2 linked regions of the Nothobranchius furzeri genome follow. The protein of the gene in region 2 purifies or fractionates together with the protein of the main gene of each other region. This does not show direct contact. Links are inferred from orthologs where the notes say so. Each region holds a gene or a part of one and is shown on either strand. Other genes may lie near its edges.

What was found.
Region 1: the proteins of nup133 (region 2) and nup37 purify together in Homo sapiens (affinity purification with mass spectrometry; 4 studies listed by BioGRID and IntAct, with this or other methods). This does not show direct contact. The link is inferred for Nothobranchius furzeri from reciprocal best matches to the Homo sapiens genes NUP133 and NUP37.

The regions. Positions count from the first base shown.
Region 1 is NC_091741.1:39,616,437-39,620,088, forward strand, and holds part of nup37 (nucleoporin Nup37), read right to left. Parts: intron 2,515-3,652; coding exon 2,442-2,514; intron 2,259-2,441; coding exon 2,164-2,258; intron 1-2,163. UniProt on the Homo sapiens protein: Component of the Nup107-160 subcomplex of the nuclear pore complex (NPC). The Nup107-160 subcomplex is required for the assembly of a functional NPC.
Region 2 is NC_091747.1:67,780,556-67,784,207, forward strand, and holds part of nup133 (nuclear pore complex protein Nup133), read right to left. Parts: intron 2,444-3,652; coding exon 2,349-2,443; intron 660-2,348; coding exon 435-659; intron 366-434; coding exon 243-365; intron 166-242; coding exon 66-165; intron 1-65. UniProt on the Homo sapiens protein: Involved in poly(A)+ RNA transport. Involved in nephrogenesis.

The DNA.
Region 1 (3,652 bases), on a different chromosome or scaffold from region 2:
GAGGTCGTGAACCTACACATGCTGACATAACCCTCCCTCCTCTCAGATCAAGGCTCCGTTTGTGTGGGCTGACTCTCCTGTTAACCTGATCCATCCCTCGTTCCGCCCGTCTTCCTACCTCGTCCCGTATTTTCTCAGCATGACAGAATTTAAACCTTTCAGCAGATGGAGCGGGCTCCTGTTTTCTCTGGACAGTCGGCAGAGGGGCGGGAGGGGGTTCGGGAGCTGGGAGCGGAGGACGTTTATACGGCGTGATCACAGACGTGGACCGATCCTCGTGTCCGTCTAAATGTTTCATCATAACAGATTATTAGTATTTTACAGATAAATGTGGAATTTCCACAACAAAAATGCAACCAAGATGCTTGCGTTTGCATTTTTCTGGCTCTGCTCGTGTTTATTGTGACCATAAACCTCATCATCAGCTAACTGTGCGTATATATCCTGACAAGTAAGGCAGGATTACTCGTTTTTAATCAGATGCCAGAGTGAATATTTAAATATTATAATTCCTACAGACACGTGCTGACAAGCATTTCTAAAGGATGCAAAATACTCAAAACAGGAAAGATGTGCACCAAGTTAGAAATGTTGAAGCATTTTGAACTAAAGGGTTCAAACCACTTCAGTACTTCTCTTCTTTGCTTCTGCAGAGCCAGAGGTCATGCTAAGGAGATCATCCAACCACTGGATTCTGGGTTCGATTTTTACGAAACATGGATGTTCTTTTCATCTATATGCAGACGACACCCAGGTTTATATTCCCGTTTAACGTGGCCTACCCAATTCTTTAGATCCTCTTCTAAACTGCCTCGATGAGGTTAAAACCTGGATGTCTGCAAATTTTTTACATTTTAATAATGACAAGACTGAGGTCATGCTTTTTAGTCCTAGTGTGTCCAGTGGGCCATGTTCTGCTGACCTTGGTCCGCTAGCCTATTTTTGAAACCAGTCTGGGAGTCCAGCTTGACAGTGATCTGCTTCTGGAAAAGCAAATCAGACGGTTTTTATCAGTTAAGGAGGATCGCCAAGGTTAAGCGTCTGCTCTCAAGTCATGACTCTGAGACGGTGATTCACGCGTTCATTACATCAATGCACTGTACCTTGGTCTTCCTCAGTCTCACCTCTCCCGTCTTCAAATGGTGCAAAATGCAGCAGCACGCCTATTGACGGGCTCGAGAAAGAGGGAGCACTATACCCCAATTTTAGCTTCGCTGCACTGGCTGCCTGTGGATTTTAGGGTCCAGTACAAGGTTCTTTTATTGGCTTTTAAAGCTGTACAAGGCCTTGCTCCGCAGTATCTGTGTGAAGTTTTAGTTACTCACTCCCCGTCTCGGTCACTGAGGTCAGCCGACCAGTTTTTCCTGGAGGTGCCGAGAACAAAGAGCAAGCTCAGGGGTGATGGAGCTCCAAGGTTGTGGAATGCACCCCCAATTCAGATTAGGATGGTTTCGTCACTGTCGGGTTTTAAATCACTTTTAAAGACTCATCTGTTCTCAGTTGCTTTTAATTCAGTTTGAGAATGCATCTGATTTTAGTAGCTTTTATGTCAGTTTGATATGTTTGTTTTTATCATGTTTTTACTTTGTGATGAACTTTTTATCTTATTTTTAGAGTTTTTAGGGAACTTCTGTTCTTTTTGGCTTGTTAAGTACTTTGGTCAGTTTTTATGCTGTTGTAAAGTGCTTTATCAATAAAGTTGACTTGACTTGGATCTAACGTCTGGGAAGAGCAACACCTAACAAGGAGCCGGACTTGACACCACTAGTTCAAAGAAACAGCAAATATGAATAAATAAGCACTAATGAGCAGCTAAAACCAGCACTGACCCTCACTGGTGACGCCATGTTTCACCTTTTCCAGCCTTAATTGAAAAGGAAAATTTAGGAATCCTTGTTAAGAGGGGGGAAAAAAAATCTCACTGCAGCTAATTGGATTTCCATATTTAACCAATTAGCAAGAGGAAGCTACAAAGCAGCTCTGTGCTTATGCACGGTCACACTGGACCGTGTTGTGCTTAGCGTCAAGTTTCACGGTGGAAACGCAGTCAGGTCTTTCTGCACCATTAACCAAAAACAGGACTGAAAATTAGAAGCTGGGAATGAACACGAACACACACACGCACACACACACACACACAAAGAGAAATAAAATAGTTTGGACCTGCAAGTGTGATCATCACTGACGGAAGCGATTTGTTTCCCTTCTGTGGGCTCAAACACCAAATGGTTAATGTAGCTGGTGTGGCCCTCCATCGCCTAGGCAACAAACATGAGAAAACTACAGGTAAGGGAAAAAAAATTCCATTAAATTGGTAGATAAATGTTTTCTGCAAATGTTGCTTTGCTAAGTCTGCAGATCTGTTTCCTGCTAGACTTGATCGTGGAGACTCCTAATGACAAGCGAAGTTTCTGGCCAATGTGCTCCAGATGTTGCGCTACCTTGACTTCGTGCCGCTCCTGAAGATCAGAAGTCAGCAGGCGTAGTTTTCTGTCTGCTGCAGCGGTGCACAATCTGCAAAGAGAGGAAGAGGAAAAGAAAGGGGAGATTTAAAAATAAACAAAAGAGAGAACATAAAAACAGACTCGGTGACACACGACATCTTTCTGCACACACACCTGCAGCCGCCCGGGCTGACACCTCTGAGTCAGAGTCTGTGTGTGGCAGAAACTTGGACTGGGATCAGTGGAAACACTGCCAGGGATATTCTAATTGCAAGCAAAGATAAACACGGAGAAAAACAAGATCGCTCACGCCATGTACGCATGTCTTTGTTTGAAACCCTGTTCCGAGCCAGGGAGAGGACTTTCCCCTCTAATCAGTCCTCGTATACACCAGCGCCTGCAATTACTCACACAATTACACTAACTCACTTATGACAAGAAAAACACACACATATCACCAGAATAAACAGATAGCGGTTCACACATTTTCAGGCGCAGGCACAGATGGACTTGGCATGCTGTCACTACAAACACCCTCGACGTGGTTCAGGTTCTTGCTGCTGCAGCGGACTCGGTTTTACAGGGACCGGCTCGAAAACACTCCAACTCTATGGAGTTGTGTTTTATTTTTTTCTCTTTGTGAAGATGTCTCACTTCTCGCATAATAAAATAAATATACATATGAACCATACCATACCATACCATAGTTTATTTATATAGCACGTTTAAAACGCAGTGTGGGAGCTGCTCACGGTGCTGCACAGGTTAAACCAAAACACAACCAACCCAAGCAACTAAAGCAGAAGATAAAAATACCGATCAAAAGCAGATAAAACATGAGGAATACTAAGATCACATTAAAACATTAACACAATAAAACACTAAAACGAGTCACTGTCTAAAAGCCACATCATAAAAGTGGGTCTTTAAAGGGACATTATGGAAGTGTGACAGCCAAAACATGTACAGAAATAATACATTTCTTCTTCATACATTCTCCTGCAATGCCTGGTCCTGTAGAATGAGCCCTGGCATTTTTACTGTGATTGCCTGTTTTTCTGTAAAATCACAGAAAAAGAGAGATGCTCGGGTCGAGCAGGCTGCTTCATGCACGTTCACGCTCAGGCATAACCCGTAGCATTTGCTATCCGTAGCTTTAGCAGCAGAGAGAGAGGCAGTGCCACTTTGTCGCTGTTCCTAACGCCTAG
Region 2 (3,652 bases):
AGGAGACGGTCAGAACGAAGAGACCGACAGAATTCAGTCAGGTAAGCTAGTCAGGTGAACGTTACCTGTCCAGGGGATGTATTCAGGCTCTGCAGCTGCATTTTCAGAAGCTCTGTACATGGAGGCTTTTGTCTCCCTGTACTGACCTGCGGCCTGAAGCATGTCCTACACACACACACACACACCTTTACTGATATTTGGGATCCCCTCTGGTCACACGCCTCACAGAGAACAGTGGTTACCTTGATGATGCTGTTGATGGTAAGAACCACCTCGGCCCACTGCACAGAATCCACAGGGTTGACCTTCAGACTCCGCTCCTCCTCCTCCAGCAGACACTCAAACACGGAGGAGATCTGAGACACCTACAAGAGAGGCGGCAAAACGTCATCTAGCCACCACGCCACTCCTTCACAAAGGCTTCACACACGGACCTCTCTGAAGAAGACATCAGCCACCGTGAGGCTGGGCGGCACCGCCACGTTCCTCCTCTGCAGAGCCATGCTGATGGCTCCATTCACCAGCTCAGCGTGTTTGGTGTGGTGGTTCTTCAGCACCATGGCTGCCTGCAGCTTCTCAGCGTGTTCGCACAGCAGCAGACGAGTTGCCATGGGAGACGAGTGCACCGTCACCTGGCTGAGCTGGTCCAACAGACCCACCTGAGGAAGGAAGGTTGGGTCAGACACATCTTTTACTGATCTGTGAAGAAATGTTGACCTTTGACAGGCAGGGGTGGAGAAAGGGGTCGGTGTGAAGGACACGGGCTCGTAGCCTGACGGGATGACATCTTCACATGGGAGCACGCCGCGGTAAAAATAAAAAACAAATGCATAAAGTTTTGATGACCTCATAAAGCAACAATCATGACCTTCTACATTGTTCCTAAGGTGGAGATGTTCAAATGTAAGAATGATTTAGTCTAATTTTAACCTGTAGCTGTTAGCTAGCAGGCTAATGCAGAGCTAACGTTTCGCCTAAGGTCAGAGGTCATCTCTGCAGCTCGGACACACCTTAAACCACCCAGCAGAGACCTGAAATGGGTGCATGCTGCGTATTTACCGTGGTGGAAAAAATAAAGCTGCAATCAACGTGAATCTGACGCGTCGCCCTAAAAACAAACGCCCGTCTCTTCAGACGTTCAGGTTTCGCCTCATCTAAATATCTGCGTCAGTTTAGTTCCAGACTAGTGCGATGCCGTAAAACAACTCCCTGCTCAGGTCACCGCGGCAACTCGGACACAAACACGGAGCCAGCCCACGCTAGCACTGACAAATGGTCTCCCAACATCAAAAGGTCCCAGCCTAGATAGCTGGATGACTGTGTGTGGTCGCAGATGTCGGGGTTCGCGGTCTCCCTGCGTTCAGCTGCATACCGATGAAGTAACCAACTAGAAATCTGAGCAACGAGGCTACTTTTAAATACCTTTGTAGTACTTACACGTTTCTTATCAACGCACTTCCTAAAGGAGGGATGCTTTTAGGCAGAGAAACGAAGGAAATGACATGAAAACAGAAAGAAAGAAATACAGAAACAATAATAGATAAATGTAAGGACCACTCGGATTTGCTGCCCTTTATTTTCTTATTTGAACGCACTGCTGAAGGTCAGGGCAAAAATATGGGAACCACCCTACATGAAACATTAGGAGTCATCCAACAGTGGGACATAAAGATCTGCTGCATCCTCTGCAACATGGGTGCAACCTGCCTGTATGCCTATAACTCAACAAGCTACAGTTAGTCCAAAATTCAGCTGCCCGGATAATCACCAAGACCTCCACTTTTGATCACATCACCCTGTCCTGCAGCAACTTCACTGGCTCCCTGTCAAATACAGAATTGACTACAAGATACTTCTTCATGCCTTTAAAGCCATCCATAATCTCGCTCCCCCATATCTTTCTAATCTCCTCCACATTGTCACTCCCACTTGCTCTCTCCGATCATCATCTTCACCTTCCCTGTCTGTTCCTCGCACTCGACTTAGTACTATGGAGCCAGAGCTTTCAGTTGCTCGGCTCCAAAACTCTGGAATGCTCTACCGCCCGACCTCCGCAACATAAACTCCTTCTCAACCTTCAAGTCTCAACTCAAAACTCACATGTTCCGCCTGGCTAACTGACTGTAACTGTCCTCCATCCATCTACTCTTTTTAGTCTATTATCCATCGCACTGCTCCGACTCTACCTTTGGGAATTACTTTTAGCATTTATTTCTTGTTGTTTGTATTGCTTGCTTGTTATATTTTGTCCTGTACAGTGACCTTGAGAGCTTTGAAAGGCGCTTGAAATAAAATGTATTATTATTATGATCCTTATTCACACAGACATCCAGGTCGGCCATTTTCACCTGCAGCAGAAAGTCCATGAAGCAACAGTGAGCCTTCATCTTGTCTTCCAGTTGGTGGAGGATGATGAGGGACGTGAGGGGGAAGCCGGCACTTTCTGGAGAAGAAATGAAAAATGTGCACAGATAAATCAGACCCCAGCTGAGATTGGCTCGGTAAGCGGAGTGACCCACGTGAGTAGGGTTGTCACGGTAACCTGTGTAGCGGTAAACCCCGGTAAAAAAAAAAAGTTGACAATAATAATAACCGTCTTGTTTTTTTAAAAAACATATATTATCTCGGTGGGATTACCGTGGCTGCGGTGTAGGCGCGGTGACCCTTACCAGCCACCGTATCATCGGCTGAAGTTGCCGGCGGCACATGTGCACTTTGTTGTTTACAACCAAAACTTTCTTGAAGCTAAAGCTGAAATAATGGTCAAAGGAGGAGACGGCAGCGCTCAGGACATTTATTATCCCTCAAAGAAGACAAAGTGGGAAGTACGGGCATCTTTTGGATATCTGAAGAATGCCGAGGGACAGCTGATAGAAGACGGCTATCCTGTTTGCAGCACGAGCAGAAAAAGTGTCTGTGAAAGGCAGCAACGCTTCAAATCTCATGACACATCTGCGTGACCATCACCCACAACTCTACAGTCAACGCAAGGCAAGCTAACGTTAGCGCTTTAGCTAAAATGCGTGATCCGAGGATTTGGGTTGAGGGAGAATGCAACGAGTCGCTATATAAAGCAGCCGCAGCGCCGCTACCTGCATATAAACCGTGTCGCGGACACCGCCATGTTGAAATGACGCTATCTATGCATTACGGGGCTCCCAGGGGCAGATAAGAGTTGGTCTCTCTCCGAGAATAATTATGAATTTAACAATGATTACTGCCTGATGACATTTTCCCACATCTGCAAAGCTCACTGGAAGGACACAAACCGAGGACAATATTCTCCTGATATAGGGTTTATTACTCAAGTAAGGGTAAAAAAGTATCTGATTACAAGGCTACTTGAGTACTGAGTATCATCTGATCTAATATTTTTAAATTATGACATCAAACAGACATAAAATAAGAAGTTATGGGCAAATATTGGTATTTTAAAGACTAAAGGGGAAAAATGTAAACAAATAAACAACATCATTACAAAATAACACATTTTAGGCAAAATTTAGACACAAACTGAGGACAATATTTCCTGACATACAGGGTTTATTTAATTGTGTGAAAATGTAGCACGTTTAAAAAAAATACCGCGATAAAACCGAAAACCGTGGTAATTTTGGTCACAATAACCGTGGGTGGGGTTACATTTTCACAC